3 linked regions of the Chlamydomonas reinhardtii genome follow. The main gene of each other region encodes a partner of the protein of the gene in region 2 in a complex. Links are inferred from orthologs where the notes say so. Each region holds a gene or a part of one and is shown on either strand. Other genes may lie near its edges.

Region 1 (3,999 bases), on a different chromosome or scaffold from region 2:
CCATGTATGCCGGTTGACGCGCCTACATGCCGCGGCGGGAATGTCGAGGTCGCCCCAGTCCCGTAGGAGTGCCGAGAATCGGCGGGTTGTTAACTGTTCTAGGGGTTCAAGGTGAGGCTTGGGAATGCTTGGCAACAGAAGGCACGCGTGGATAGATGGCGTGTGGCATGCGCTCAGCTTGGCCATGCCTAGCTTCAAGCACGTCAATAGCTAGCTAGTACGCCCCAGCGCCGCTGGCCATGCCCGTGCCTCGCTTCCAGGGGTAGACGTGGGGCGTGGATGGCGTGTGGCGTGTGTGAAACACACCGTGGCCATGCCTAGCTGGTGGTGGCCCGAGCAGGTCCGAGCCCGTGCACGGCACCCCTGCTGCAACCCCACCGAATGCATTGTTCCTAACCGGCAATGCATACGGTATTGATGCAAAGGAGCGGGTTGCGCCATACGGGTGCCACCCAGCACCTTGCCCGGCACCAGCACCTTGCCCGGCGCCAGCAGCTGCCTGGCGCTCCTGGCAGCAGCGGGGGTCCAACTAACTACCGTACAGCTCTTACAGGCGGCGAGAGATGCCCCAACGCCGCGTCGATAGATGCGCTGCAAGTGAATCGCCCGGCAACTGGCATCCCATGGGTCGGGCGTGCATTGCGGGCCGTGACCCCCGAACTCCCCCCGGCTCCCGGTTTGGGCTGGTATCTACAACCCAGGGTAGTTGGCGAGATTTGGGGACCATATGCACGTCGTGCTCACCTCCTTGTAACCACACACACCAACAAAATATGCAGCCCGACGCGGCGGGAATGCATCCCCGGAAATGCCCAATCTTTCTCGCCCGAGGGCCTGCATTCGGGCCCGTTCCGTGCCGCTCCCCAAAGATGCAAGCAAGCCCTGTGAGTTCCATGGGCGCAGCGAGGGATGGTGCCGTTGCAAGCCGCGGACTGTCCCTTCGTGTAGCGTCGCACTCTTTCGTTCCCATCAATACAAGCAGCTAGGGGCCTGAGCGGGTGTCACTAGGGCCCTCGGCTCTCTGCAGAAGAAGAAGCAGACTGGGAGGCCCAGCTCCGGGCGCTCCGGTGCGGCAGCCTTGCAAAGGCCGGGGGCCAGGCGCGGGGGTGACGGCACCGTACGCGCGCATGGGGTGACCAGGGTTCGGCAGCTGGGCTTGTGCCTTGAATGGAGGAGACTCCACGACAGCACCACTTGTACCTATACATAACGAAAGCACTATCAAGCTCTACATCAAATCACACGTCGCGATAAATTTGAGCAGATCCCTCTCGTCATTCCATTTGCCTTCACCGTAAAACGAAAGCCATGGCTTCTACCGCTTCACCCTATCAACTAGGCAACCCCCTTAGCAAGGTTCAGGCGGACGCCGCGGACGGGCAAAGGCAACACGCAGCGTGGAGCCCGTAAGTGCACAGTTGGCAAATGCCTTGCAGATTCTAAAGCTAACAGTGCTCAATTTTCAATATGCAGATACGATGACAACGGCGGGTGAGCTCAAAGCTGCCAGTTCTCGCGCGAGGCCAGCAGATCCCGCGAACCCCTTCTGCTGCATTTCGTTTGCGGTGTTTGGTGCTGCGTTGGAGTGCGTGGAATGACGTTAGCCAATTCCTTGCAGAACCGTGGTTGCGGTGGCGGGAGAGGACTACTGCATCGTGGCCGCGAGCACGCGCATGTCCACCGGCTTCAGCATCCTCACGCGCGAGGCGACCATGATGCTGCAGCTGTGAGTGCGAGTGGGGGGGGGGGGCGATCGTAGAGGCGAGGAGATGAGATGAGGGGAGAGGCCGTGATGGAGTCTTTTAGAGTGTGGGGGGAAAGGGGGGGGACAGCGGGAATGCGTGTGCGTGTGCGCGGGTGTGTAGGGGAGGGAGGGGGGACGGCATTGAGAGGGTGGCAATTGGGGGTGCGGCCATAAGCTGGCTGGTGGTGCGTGTGTAGGTGGGTGCGTGGGGTGTTGCAGCAATGGCAGGGGGCCGCAATCAAGGCAGGTGGGGCGGGGGAGGGAGGGACTGATGCACGTCCGGAGGCTGGCGGGCGTCGTGTGTGGCAGGCGGTGAGGCTGCCGCAGCTGCAGGTGGCTTGTGCGGACGTGGCACGCCTGCAGGGTGGGAGGGAGGGGGGCCTGCAGGGAGGGAACGATGTTTGTGGGTCGGGGGGCGAGAAAGAGGGAGGGAGGGGGTTGACGGCAATTTGCCGTGTCGTGTTTGACTGAGCGTATTCACGGCCGCGTGCCTCGGTTCGTCCCACACAGCACGACCCAGCGCAGCGGTTCACTCATGCGAGTATCCGCAACGTGACACAGCACGACACGACACTTGTTTGTGCTTACAGACACTTTACCATTGAACGCGATGACACACTTTGTGAAAACACGCACGCACACACACAGGTCGGACAAGGTGGTGATCGCCAGCGCGGGCATGCAGGCGGACCGCAAGGCGCTGCACAAGCTGCTGCAGGTGTGGGCGGGTGATGGGTGGGGGGTTGGGGGGTGGGGTGCGTGTGTGTATGTGTGTGTTGGGGTGGTTGGTTGGGTGTGTGTTGGGGTGGGTGGGGTGGGTGGGTGGGTGAGGGGATGGTGTGTGTGTGTGTGTGTGTGTTGGGGTGTGTGGGTGGGTGTGTGGGTGGGTGTGTGGGTGTGGGTGGGTGGGTGGGTGGGGATGTGGTGTGTGGGTGGGGATGGGCGTGGTGGGGTAGGGGTTGTGTGGGGTGTTTAGGGCGGGGGTGGGTGCTCGGAAAGCACAGGGGGATAGGGTAGACTCTGCACGTGCGGCATGTGTGATGGTGGCGTGGGTTTGGGGTGGGTTTGGGGTGGGTTTGGGGTGGGGTGGGTTTGGGGTGGGGTGTGAGTAGGAGAGGGAGGGAGGGCAGGCCGTCACACTTCCCCACACCCACACCCCCACACACAGGCCCGGCACGTCATGTACGTGCACAACCACGGCCGCCCCATGTCGCTACCAGCCACAGCGCAGGTGAGGAGGGGAGGGGGGGGGGCTAGGGGGCTGGGGGGGGGGAGGGGGGGAATAGGGGGTCGCAAGGTTGAAAAAGGGTTGGGATCAGGATAAAGAAGCGGAATTATGGGGGGCGGGAAGGGTGGGGGGTGGGGTGGGGTGGTTTGCGGCGGTTCGGGTTGCGGTTGGGGAGGGCCCATGCTTTCGCCTTTGTGGTGTGGATGCGGATGTGTGGCTCCGGACGGTTGGAGCGGTTGGCTACTACCAGAACACACATCCGATCATGAATGTAACCCCTCCCCTGCCCCCTGCCCCCTCCATTCCATTCCTCACACAACCCCTCCATTCTCCACCCATCCCCCCACCCCCCACGCCCACACCCCCAAGCTGCTGTCCAACACGCTCTACTACAAGCGCTTCTTCCCCTTCTACACCTTCAACCTGTGCGCCGGGCTGGACGAGCAGGGTGAGGCGGAAACTGGGTTTAGATGGATGGATAGATAGGTGTATGGATGGATAGATAAATACGACGCATATGACGGACGTGTCTGTGTGGGGTGGGTGGGTGTGGATGTACGGAAGGGGCTTCAACTTGTGCGCGGGCCGGGATGAACAGGGTGAGGGGACTGGGGTTGCAGGTACCAGCCCAAACGCAACCGAACCCAATGCAGTAGAGGGAGGAGGAGAGCGTGGGGGCAGGGAGAGGGCGGAGGACACATGCAGGGGTGCGAAGCTTGGGGTTGGGCTGGCAGAGGGGATGAGGGGGGTCGGGATTTGGGGGGTGGGTGGAGGGAGGGATGGGTTAGGTGGGTGAGGGGAGTGGCAACACTGTGACTGTTGCGCTCGGCGGCGGCGGCGGCGGCGGCGGGGGCGGCGGCAGTGGGGATGTGGCCTGTCCACACGCACACGCACACGCACACATCTCCCCACCCAAGCACCTCCCCACACCCACTCCCATCTCCCGCTCCCACACCCACACCCACACACGCACCCACACACGCACACAGGCCGCGGAGCCGTGTACAACTACGACGCCATCGGCTCC
Region 2 (7,214 bases):
ATGCAGTGTGAGCTGCACCAGGCTGCACCAAGGCATTGCCGTGTTGAGGCGCTAGTGCTAGGGAACCTGGCGTTACCTGACTTACGGGGATGGTAAAGTTGTTTGTTGGGGGTGACATGCGTGGTTTGGGAGGACATAACATGGTATGTGGACGGAGGGGTGGTGCCGACAGGACACCACCGGCATTGGAGTTCGGAGAAACGGTCACAGAGGTAACTAAGTGGATGCCATGCTGCCTCCCTTTCTTCATGCACCTCAGCATTCACGGCAAATTAATCTGCATCCAGTCCTGTCAGACCGAGCAGAACGGGGGCGTGCATGCGGCCTAGGTCGGGCTGTAACCGTGCTGATGCGGCCGGAACACTTTGTACAGTGAAGCGGACGCCGGATGAGCTGCACGTGAGCCAACTTTGTCAAATGTTAGATTCTGGGGTCTGGGCTCTGAGCGAGTAATCCAATAGCTGGGGAGGGGCGCAGGTACCAGATTGCTCCCTGGTGCAGCACCTATGGCTGAGGCCCGCGCGCTGCCACGATTCGCTTGGCCACAGGCGCTGGGTGTCTGTCGACTGGTCGAGTGGCATACGGTGACAGTGCCATCCCACCCGCAAGTCCACGAATCCAGTGCTGCACACACGTCTTGTGTGGCCAGTCACTCACGCCGGACACACCGCATCGCCAACATCCGCCTAACAGCGGCGCTAATCTGCGGCCCTGGTCAGCAGTACCGGGCCCCAATACAACCCCTACTAGTCCATGTAACTGTACTCGTCCATGGAAACCCTCGTCAACCTTTTAATCCACTATGCGGTAGTGCGCGTCCACTACTGGGGGTTCCCTAGGCGCATGCCCCAATTGCATCGTCGTCTACGGTTGACATCTTGCTTAGCCCGAAAGACGATGCGCCTAAACCTGCCCGTTTCCCATCACTGTGCGCACTGCAGTTCACACCGCCTGCGTCCTCACTTCGTCACACCGTCACTCATACGCCTAACCACTGCACATCTCCTGTCCCTGCCCGCTCGTTGTGGCACGTCGCTCGGCTGCCGCACCTTGCACGCCCGCGGCGGCCACCCCGACCTCCCACACGCCGCCATAAGTCCACCACTACCCATGCCCCATGCCCTTGAACTTAACCCCCACACCCCTATGACTATACGCTAACAGTGCACTGCTTGCGACACAGACTTCTACTTTGCCATGACGTAGAGGATGGTGAACAGCACGCAGGCGGCGATGACGCCCGCCAGCACCAGCGTGTCCTTGGACTTCTTCCGCCGAATGGCGTTGAGCAGCCCGTTCACCACGGGGAAGCGCGACCCCACCTGCACCAGCTTGTCTAGCGCGCCCTCGAACACGCGCCGCTGCCCCAGCAGGTTGCCGCTCACGTTGGCGGCCTGGGACAGGATGTCGTCCACCTGCGTGTGGAGCGGCACAGGGCGCACGATGCCAGGCGCACCGGCACCGGTTAGTTGCGCTGTTTAGTCGCAGGTGCAGTCGTCACGGCCGCACCGTGTGGTCAGCACCTGGTAAGCGCCAGGAAGCTACTGCGGTCAGGCACTCGAGCCCGACCGCAGCACCCGATGGGTGGTGCCCCAGCCCACAGCAGCGGAGCAGGAGTGCGGCCCGCCTCTAGCCAGTTTCAGCCTGGTCGCGTCAGGTGCTCACCATGTTGGCCGAGTTCTGGATGGCGCCGCGTTCCCGCAGCAGCGCCCCCGACGAGTTCTGGACCTGCGCAGACCCCAACCACGCAAGCAGCAGGAAGATTGAGACGCAGCTTCAAGACCAACTTGCATGCGTTGCCCAATCTGAGGCATACGTCGCGACGCCCATTAGCAGCGTCGCAACAGCCTCATGCTCCGTGCCCCACCCGCCGGTTCAGTATCCCGCCCGCCGGCAGTCCCTGCAGCGCCAGCTGAGGCCAACTCAAGCCCCGGATCACCCCCGTGCGCCACGGCCTCACGTTCACGCTGAGGTGCGGGCTGTCCGAGGCGCCCGCCAACAGCTTGACGCGGTCCAGCGCCGCGCCCAGCGTCGAGTTCACCTTGCGGAACTCCTGCAGGGCGAAAATGAATGGACCCGGGCACCAAAGCAGACACACAGGGAAACGATAACCACCAGTGTTAGCGTCGCATGGTTTGTGGGCATCGCAGAAGTCGGACGCGGGAGAAGCTCGGCGCAACACATGGTGGTGGCGAGGTCGAGGCTGATGCTGGTGTAGGACCGCTGGTTCTGCCTGCAGGAGGGCTGCACGCGACAACCCCTGGGCAGCCGGGCGCGCGGTCCCTCTTCATGGGCAAATTGATACTGCTCCACACACCTGCGTGAACTCCTGCAGTATGTCACGGTGGCGTGCGAGCGTGTGGGAACGCGAGTCCGTGCTGCCGCCTACGATGGCAGCCATCTCATCGTTGATGTCCGACAGCCGTTGCAGCAGGTCCTCGACTTCTGCAGCTTTCGTCTGGGCGAGCTGCTGGGGCATTCGGGGGCATTGACGGTATGGGGTTCATTGTTAGCAGGGGTGCATCGCACAGGGCAACGCACCGAGTGCCATACGCACAGGTGTGCCGATGGGTATCCCCCTCACCTGGTCTGCCCCGAGCGAGTTATCTGCCGTGTTTAGCTTGTAGCTGGCCTCAAAGCTGGAGCACAGCTTGGTGAAAGCCGCGAGTTTCACATCGAGCTCGCCTTCTAGCCGGCGTGCCTGCAGTGGCAGCGATACTGATGTTGTGCATCCGCGAAACGAGACCGAGACCCACGCCCACACCCCGCACCTCCTTGCGCAGGTCCTCCCATACGCGTGTTTGGCCGGGCGGGCGCGCGGGGGCAGGACTGCTGGAAAGGGAGCGAGCACAGGAAACAGAAGTTGGTCGCTGCTCTGGACTCGTAACTCAGCGGGGTTGCAAGCTAATGCCACGCACCGGTAAGCCATGTATGCTGTAGCTACTCGTCCGGTGGATGGAACCTCCAATAAATAGGACATATGCAGTGCTCAAGGACTGAGCATGCTGGGTTCCGCTGTCTACAGTGCCCTAGCCCGGCTAGCTGGAGCCGGTAGAGCTTTTTGTGCAACGTATTGAACGTGTTGGGCAGCGCCAGAACCGTGCAGGCAGTTTGGCCAAATGTTCGCGGGCTTGTTGTGTCTACACGAAGCAGGGACACGTTGTTGCTAAGATGTAGGGTTCAAATAAACGTTAGAAAGACAAATATGATCGCGTGCTGGAGCATGCCGGTGCAGAATGTGTTTGCCCTCACGGCATGCCCCTCTGGCCCATGCTTTCCCCAGAAGCCAGCAAGACCTGGTCACTTCCATTATATACATATATGCTGCAAACCAGCCTGCATATATTTGTGCTGACCTAGCTCAAGACCAAACACAACCCTCAAGCAGATCTTTCGCCTTTGCGCCAATTTCTGTCGCTTCACTTCCGTAGTCGTCCTTCCTAGCCAGAAAGCAGCAGCAGGAGCCATGCTGCCACGGCCAACGAGTCACTCCAAGGCGCTAGGCCCGGGCGTGGCCGGCCCGGAGCTCGCGGTGGCCACCTCCGCGGTGCTGGACCGGCCCCCGCAGCCTGGCGCACACCTGCCGCTCAGCGGCGCCGCGCCCTGCGCCGTGGACCCCAGCTCGCTGAACGACCCCCGCCAGCACACCAAGTACCCCTACGTGACGGGCACGTCCGTGCTTGCCGTCAAGTACAAGGACGGCGTGCTGCTGGGCTGCGACACACTGGGCGCCTACGGCAGCACCAAGCGCTACAAGAGCACGCAGCGCCTGTACCGCGTGAACGACAAGTGCGTGGTGGCGGCGGGCGGCGAGATCAGCGACTTCCAGCACATCTCCAACCTGCTGGACGAGCTGACCACCGACGACTACCGCATTGACGACGGGATACAGCTGACGCCGCAGCAGGTGTACAGCTACCTGTGCCGCGTCATGTACAACCGGCGAAACAAGATGGACCCGCTGTGGAACTCGCTGGTGGTGGGCGGCGTGCAGCCGGACGGCAGCCAGTTCCTGGGCATGGTGGGCATGATCGGCACGCACTACACCGACAGCCACGTCACCACCGGCTTCGCCAACCAGCTGGCGCGGCCGCTGTTCCGCGAGCGGCAGCGGGATGACATGAGCGAGGAGGAGGCGCTCAACCTGCTGTACGACGCCATGCGGGTGAGGAGCAGGCAGCAGCATGGGGCGCGGCGGGAGAAGGGCAGGGGGGTAAGGGCGGTGGGGGGACGGAGGTTGGAAGAGGAGGAGTGGCAGCCGGCACAGGCAGGGGCGCGTGAGGCGGGGAGGGCGGCGGCGGCGCGGCAGAAGGTTGCAGGGCTGCTGTGGGAAAGAGCGCGGCTACACGGGAGGACGGGCGGGTTAGAACGGTGGCAAGGGCGCTATGCACGCTGTGCAGTGTGGTGGGCTGCACGGATGACGGATGCGGACGTTTTGACGGCGGGCGTCCACATCACCACACTTCCGCCAGGCTCCCATTGTGCGTCTCCATCGCACTGCTGTCACCTCCCCCTCTCCCCCTCACGCACGCAATCTCAGCCGTTGCCGCCATTTGCGCCTTTGCCCTCATCCCATCCCGCCGCTGTGTCTACAGGTGTGCTACTACCGCGACAAGGTGTCCATCAACAAGTTCCAGGTGGCCAAGGTCACCACTGCCGGTGGCGTCAGCATCTCCGAGCCCTTCGCGCTGGACATGCGCTGGGACTACAAGATGTTCTCCAACCCCACCAAGTGGGCCGTGGGCGCCTGGTAAAAGGCCGGCGGCAGAGGCAGCGGAAGCGCTGGCCGCGGCGGCGGCAGCGGAGGTGTAGATGTGAAGGGCTACGGCGATGAGTGCGGTGAAGAGGACAAGGAGGACAGGAATGGCGTTGACATGAGTTCACGCAGGTAGGGCTGCGCGCGGTAGTGTTGCGTACTGTGGCGGGCATGTATAGGGTTGTGGAGGAAGGCGAGTTTCCCGACAGCGCCGGGCTGCGGGCGAGGTGGCTGTCAAGTCTTTTGGCTACGGTTCCGGCTTGGTGGTGCACACCTCAGTGGCAGGGCCGCCTGGAGCAGATTGCAACAGGTGCAGCAGGTATATCATGGTTACAGCACCGGACGCCCCTGAGTGGACCCCGCATGGCACCATGTGTGCACGTGCACGCTTGTAAACTAGACGCATGTCTTTGCCAGCTGCTCGCTCACTCCAAACTCGCTATCATACTGCCAGCATTTGGCTGAAGCAGCATCAGAGTACGCGTGCGTGTACGGCTGAGTCCTACATGCATCGCTTGCTCATGTTGCAGATCTGGCTGCACAACGTACTGTATTCATAATGTCCGCATTCCAAACTCAGCCTTCAGTTCACTCACTCACCGGTGGCTCACTAGCTGAACTGCAAGTTAAGCACCAACCCCACCACCTGCCGCCTGCAAGCAGCACCGGCACTGTCCCAGGCCATCAGAAACCCGCCTGCAGGCTCGCCCACGCCCGTCATCACCACCACACACGCCTAACGAAGTACACCCAACCTCTCTCACTTCGCCGCATCTGAGCTCGGCGCCTCCGAGGGCGCTGCCGCCGCCTCCTCTAGCCGCGCCCGCTTCGCCGGCTCCTGGGCCTGCGCTTGCCCGTCGGCCGTCCCCGCCGCCGTGGCGCCCACAACCGACGCGCCCTGCCCGCTGGCGGCCAGTCCGGGGCTGTTGGAGGGTAGGGGCGGCTGGACCACCGTAAGGTCGGCAAGGGTGCGCTTGGGCGGCGGCGCGGCAGAGCCGCCGGCCGCGGCACCGTCCGCAGGCTGGCCCTGCGCCGGCGCGGCCGCGGGCTGGAGGGTGATGCGCTTGGTACCCCGCCCCACCACACCCAGAGACACGGTGGCGGCGGCGGCGGCTGCGTTGGTCGGCGCCGCGAAGGAGCCAGAGGAGCCGCCGGCGGCGCCCGCCAGGGCAGCGGCACCGCCATTCGCCTTGATGAACGCTTGCCTGCGCGGGAAACCGGGACACACAGGTCGCACAGGTGAAGCGGGTTACCGTCTGAACGTGCTGTGAAAGCAGGAGCACCTACGGGCGACAGCCAGGTCTGCCAGAGTGTCGCCTGCAACGCCGGACCCACGCCATAAGTAGCGCAGCCCCTCTGCCCACAATCGCTCCGCGCAGGCCCATGCGAATGTAGCACAGCCCCCCCGCTCCCGGCCACAACTGCACTCTGGCCCCCGTCAGCCTCCGCCCACCCGACCCGCTGGCCCCACCTGAGCGCCTCCTTGAGTGAGTTGTTGTGCTTGATGGTGTCGCGCAGCCCCTCGCAGTTGTGGGTCAGCTCCGTCATGACCGCCCGCAGGTCGTCCGCGGTCTCCTGCAGCCGCCGGCCCTCCTCCTCCGCCTCCTCGCCGCCGCTGCCGTCCGTGGGCAGCGCCGCAAGCTTCTCCTCAATCTCGCCGGCCGCGGCCTGTGTGGGATATGCAGCGCGGGACGACGTGAGTGACCGGCGTTAGGCCCCCTTCACGAAAGCCCCTGCCTGAAAGGCGCATGATGTCCAGCACCCCGACTTCTCGTAACCCCTCTCCCTCCTTCCAGCCACCCGCACGCGCCTAGCTCGCCAGCCCCAGCGACAGCCCAGATGTGACCCGCCCCCCAAAGCCCCTCTGCCGCCCAGCCCCGCACCTCCAGCGAGCCGATGGCCTCCTCCGTCTGCGCCAGCGCCTGGTCCGGCTGCTCCATGAAGGTGAGCGACAGCGACAGCTTGTACTGCACCTCGGCGATGCGCCGCTTGCTGGGCGGCTGCATGGCCTTGAGGTGCGCGATGGACTGCCGGTAGCACTCGGCTGCATGGCAGAGCGGGAGGCGGCATCAGGGGGAAGGGGGCATCAGGGGGAGAGGGAGGGGCATAAGTGCGCGGAGAATAGTATGGGTGCAGTATAACGATGGGACGGCCGTCACACGGGGCAATCCGGATTGGCGCAGGCCTTGAGCACCGCCTGCACCGAAAACGCTCCTGATCGCCCACCCGGCCTCAGTCGACCCACCTCGCCTGGGCCCCGCTGAGCCCCGCACGCCCCTCAGCCCCGGCGCCCACCCACCCTCCCCAGCCACCACCCGCCAAGCCAGCCAGCCAGTCACTCTCACCCGCCTCCTCGAAGCGCTCCTCCTCCGACTTGATATCTCCGAGCGACTTGTGCACCTCGGCCAGCTTGCTGTGGTGCTGCTCGGGCGAGTTGCGGTCGTAGATGATGCGCGAC
Region 3 (4,124 bases), on a different chromosome or scaffold from region 2:
GCCATACCCACCGCCATGATAGCTACATACGGTCTGCATTTGAATCTACTGTGTGCAATTCATATTCTACCTAAACGGCCGGGCAGCATGACCAGTCCCGTCAGCACGAGCCCAGCCCGTCCCACACAGCTGTCGCAGCACGCCTGCCCCTCCCTTCCTAGGCGCTTCCCGGCCCGAACGCCTCCTCCCCATGCCCACGCACCGGAAAGTATCTTGAGAAGATTTCCGCCACTAGGAAGCCGTTCGCCACGTCCCTGCGGCCAGTCGGGAGCACAGGCGTTGGACTCACAGCGACTGGGGCCGGCAGGTAAGCACCGGCGAAGCTACGGCGCCGCGCCCAGCCCGCTGCAGCCCCGAGATGCCTTACCGCCTGCAGTTCTTCAGCGACTGCGACAAGTCCAGGCCTTGAACCCATTTCAAGACGTCGCGATGCAGGGCTGGCGTGTCGGGTGGAGACTCATATCCAAATAGCGTTGTGTCTTCTTGTCGTTGTAGCCTGTCTCGCCGCCCAGTGGTACTTGTTAGCGAGGTCGCGGTTTGGGACAACGTCGCCCGGTTGGTCATTCTGTCTTCGCAAAGCGCAGTCTTCAAGTGCACTGAGAAACGTTCTTATAAAGAGAAATTGATATGTGATATGCTGCTTTGTCGATTACAGCGCACTCGCCATCTTAGACTTGTCAACCTTAGAGTTTGTGATTGCGAAGCTTTGGTCAGTAATTTGAGGCCGCTGCCCCCACAACCTAGTACACCATGCAAAATTGCAGGTCTTATCGTGTGCTTGTGCGGTGTCTATTCAACTGGGGCCTTACAAAAACACACACGTGCCAACCTCCTGGCGCGAGCGGAATCTGCCCCTCGTCCCTCCCTGAATATTGTTCAGATGCAATGCAACACCGCTCAAGACAGGCACACTGCAATAGTTGTGTGCATTGCGATCGTTGATGTGCTGTCATGACCAGGCGTCATAATCGACCAGACCACCACCAGCCCTATACGCAAACGCTCATTCCCCCCGCTTAATCAACGTACATCCTACTTTGCAGATGTACCACCGACGTGAAGCCCATCCCCTGAATTCCCTGAACGCTTGGACATTCAGCGTGCGAAGCATGCCTGCAGTGACGGGAACACCCAAGAGCGGCCACACTGATGGACCCACGGGCGCAGAGTGTTATTCCAGGCTATCTTGGAAAAGCGGAGGGGGACTTGAAGGGCTTCGGGGGCTTTGGCGTGAGCAGTTGGCGTGGCACCTGGATGCGTGCCTGGATGAGCAGGGGGCTCTCGTGATGTCGAGACCGCAGGCGCATCCCCGGCAAACCGCGAACTTAGGCCACTACGCTTACATTGTTTTTGATACATAGGCTCTAGAAAACTGCTTGGGATAAATAACAAACACAGATCTTTGCCAGACTTTTGGCCCTGCTCGTTTGCTCTGCTGCTTTAATCCACTAACGTGTCCCTCCAGCTCAATACATCACCATGTCGCGGAGATATGATTCCCGCACAACGATTTTCAGCCCCGAGGGGCGCCTTTACCAAGTTGAGTATGCCATGGAGGCCATTTCCAACGCCGGTGCGTCCATTGGCCTGCTGGCGAAGGATGGAGTCGTCCTGATTGCGGAGAAGAAGATCACATCCAAGGTAACTAGGCGGGCTCGCATGGGATCGCGCCCAATTTCCAGGGCTGGCGCTAACTTGCATCGTCTTTCGGTCGCGTAGCTCCTAGACACGCACGCGGTGGGTGTGCGCCGAGAGAAGATGTACCGGATAGACAACCACATCGCCTGCTCGGTGGCGGGTATCACAGGTGGGGGCGGGTGGGGTCTGGCGGGTTCGCGTGCTGCGTGGGCTTGACCCAGTTGCAGATGCAGCATGGCCGTTGAGGTGGCATGTGCGACTGTTGTAGCGCAGGGTTACTGGCATCTGTGTATCTGCCGTTGTGGCATGCGGGAAGCTCTGGTTTCATTTCGACTCGGTTCTATTTGTGTGACGCTTGGTCAACACCGCGCTTCCACCGGCGGAGGACTGCGTGTCTGGCGAGCAATTGTCTCCGCCGATGTGGCTATGAAGGCCATCTGGATGGAAGCGTGGGGTCGGTGCGCATCTCCCGAAGACCCGAACTAACCAGCACTTTCCCCTTCACATTTCCCTTCACATTCCCCTGCCCCCTCCACCTCTTCCCCCTCTTCCTCTCCAGCCGACGCCAACATCCTGATCAACACGTGCCGCCTGGCCGCCCAGCGCTACCTGTTCGCCTACCAGGAGCCCATGCCGGTGGAGCAGCTGGTGCGCACCGTGTGCGACACCAAGCAGGTGAGAAACAACGGGCGGTGGCGGGGTGGGGAGGGGCGGGGGGATTCTTTGCCGAGCCCCGCGAATTAGTCCCGTCATCAGGGGGAGTGTTTGAGGATACGTTATATACACAATACTAGGGGTGGCGCCGCCGCACTGCACCAACCTGCTACCCGGCTTTTGCCCTGTTGGATTGCTGCCCGATGCGGCCTGAGCAGGACCTGACGACCCGTGTCCCTGCCGTTCCACCACCCCACCCCACCCCGCCCGGTGCTTTTACTCTGTTCCCGTTCCCTAACCGTGCAACCCCACCCCCACACAGGGGTACACCCAGTTTGGAGGGCAGCGGCCGTTCGGTGTGTCGCTGCTGTACGCTGGCTGGTGAGCGCACAGTGGGGGAGGGGGCGGGGCCTGGCCGTGTGTGGAGGCGCCGCTGGGGGAGGGGGGTTTGCAGCGTGCGGTGTGCACAGAGCGGAGGGCGTGTGACGGGCGGACGGCGTCGTGTGGACCGCGTGCAGGGGTCGGGGCGATGTGCTAGCTGCCCGGGTGCTAGGGCTGGAGTCTTGCGCGGGGGACCACGTGGCGTGAGCAGGCAGCAGGACGGCAACGGCCCATGACTGCTGGACCTGGCCTCACACACCCTACCCCGCAGGGACGAGCACTACGGCTTCCAGCTGTACCAGTCCGACCCCAGCGGCAACTACGGCGGCTGGAAGGCGGTGGCCATTGGCGCCGGACACCAGGCCGCCAACAACCTGCTCAAGAGCGACTTCAAGGTAAGGAGGGTGAGGGAGGGGGTTAGGAGCGGGCATGTAATCGCCCAACTAATCCTGTGTGCAGTCGAGTATCGTCCCACATGCATCGCCACCACCTGCTCACCAACCACATGTACCCCTCCCACCTCCCGCAGTCTACCTCATACAAAGTACCTCCCACCCTCCCGCTTGCCCTCCGCCAGTCCCGCGCTGCCTCTCGCTAACCTCGCAAGCCCCCCCTTCACTTCATACTTGTAACTTTAGCACTCCGTTCTCCACATGAACGGCTACCCCCCGCCCCCCCCCCCTGCAGGAGGACCTGCCCCTGTCTGAGGCCATCCCCTTCATCATCAAGGTGCTGGCCAAGTCCATGGACACCAGTCTGGCGCCCGACAAGGTGGAGCTGGCCACCATCAGCCGCGATGCAGCCAGCGGCAAGGTGAGGGAGGAGGACAGCGAGGGAGGGAGGGAGCGAGGGACGGAGAGAGGGCTGTGCTCACCATCCCCGGTTTTATACATGAGATGCGATGGGTATGTACGTGTCACGAGGTTTGCAACTGGGATGTGGGGCCTTGGTTTAGTGGCAAGGCGACAGGTTGGGTCGCCCCCCTACCTCGTGCCTCCATCGCTGAGGCTGGCAGCTCACATCCCACTGCCAACTCGCTCTCACTCCTGTCCCGCCCCTGTCCTGCCCCTCCCCCGCCTCCCCCTCATGCTTCAGGTGGTGTACAAGATCTATGACGCCCCCGAGCTGACGCCGCTGCTGGACGCAGCGAACGCCGAGAAGGAGGCGGCGGCGCAGAGCTGAGCGGGCTGAGCATGAGAAGGACGTGGCAGGAGTCGAGGGCACGAAGGAGAGGGGGGTCAGGCTGTGGTGACTGCAGGGCGGCGGGGAGGCTGGACTAAGCCGGTGCAATGTTTGGAGGGGTAGTGCGGTGATGCGCGGGAGTGTACAGGTTGGGTACCACGGTGGTTGCCCGGGCGGCGGGGCGCAGCCGTGTGTCCGTATGCTAGTACAGTATGCAGAAGTGTCATAGCAGCGGTGGTGGTGCGGTTGTGGTGGTAGTGAGGGTGCAC

Evidence for each region. The genes of interacting proteins can lie anywhere in the genome.
Region 1: CHLRE_06g280850v5 (region 2) and CHLRE_26g756797v5 share a complex: the UniProt entries of both Arabidopsis thaliana proteins name them as parts of the 20S core complex. The link is inferred for Chlamydomonas reinhardtii from reciprocal best matches to the Arabidopsis thaliana genes PBG1 and PBF1.
Region 3: CHLRE_06g280850v5 (region 2) and CHLRE_10g418100v5 share a complex: the UniProt entries of both Arabidopsis thaliana proteins name them as parts of the 20S core complex. The link is inferred for Chlamydomonas reinhardtii from reciprocal best matches to the Arabidopsis thaliana genes PBG1 and PAC1.

Annotation. Positions count from the first base shown.
Region 1 is NW_025061539.1:25,766-29,764, reverse strand, and holds the start of CHLRE_26g756797v5 (uncharacterized protein), read left to right. Parts: upstream 1-1,199; 5' UTR 1,200-1,308; coding exon 1,309-1,406; intron 1,407-1,473; coding exon 1,474-1,491; intron 1,492-1,618; coding exon 1,619-1,726; intron 1,727-2,392; coding exon 2,393-2,462; intron 2,463-2,912; coding exon 2,913-2,975; intron 2,976-3,341; coding exon 3,342-3,420; intron 3,421-3,961; coding exon 3,962-3,999. UniProt on the Arabidopsis thaliana protein: Non-catalytic component of the proteasome, a multicatalytic proteinase complex which is characterized by its ability to cleave peptides with Arg, Phe, Tyr, Leu, and Glu adjacent to the leaving group at neutral or slightly basic pH.
Region 2 is NC_057009.1:5,091,094-5,098,307, reverse strand, and holds CHLRE_06g280850v5 (uncharacterized protein), read left to right. Parts: upstream 1-3,326; 5' UTR 3,327-3,466; coding exon 3,467-4,165; intron 4,166-4,595; coding exon 4,596-4,754; 3' UTR 4,755-5,163; downstream 5,164-7,214. Other genes in the region: CHLRE_06g280900v5 (uncharacterized protein), read right to left, coding at 1,188-1,415, 1,666-1,728, 1,961-2,053, 2,318-2,470, 2,585-2,701, 2,772-2,832, 2,919-2,980; CHLRE_06g280800v5 (uncharacterized protein), read right to left, coding at 5,517-5,961, 6,228-6,424, 6,640-6,800, 7,102-7,214. UniProt on the Arabidopsis thaliana protein: Non-catalytic component of the proteasome, a multicatalytic proteinase complex which is characterized by its ability to cleave peptides with Arg, Phe, Tyr, Leu, and Glu adjacent to the leaving group at neutral or slightly basic pH.
Region 3 is NC_057013.1:78,077-82,200, reverse strand, and holds the start of CHLRE_10g418100v5 (uncharacterized protein), read left to right. Parts: upstream 1-1,324; 5' UTR 1,325-1,479; coding exon 1,480-1,641; intron 1,642-1,719; coding exon 1,720-1,807; intron 1,808-2,197; coding exon 2,198-2,313; intron 2,314-2,614; coding exon 2,615-2,673; intron 2,674-2,944; coding exon 2,945-3,068; intron 3,069-3,360; coding exon 3,361-3,486; intron 3,487-3,768; coding exon 3,769-3,855; 3' UTR 3,856-4,124. Other genes in the region: CHLRE_10g418150v5 (uncharacterized protein), read right to left, coding at 203-254, 368-564. UniProt on the Arabidopsis thaliana protein: The proteasome is a multicatalytic proteinase complex which is characterized by its ability to cleave peptides with Arg, Phe, Tyr, Leu, and Glu adjacent to the leaving group at neutral or slightly basic pH.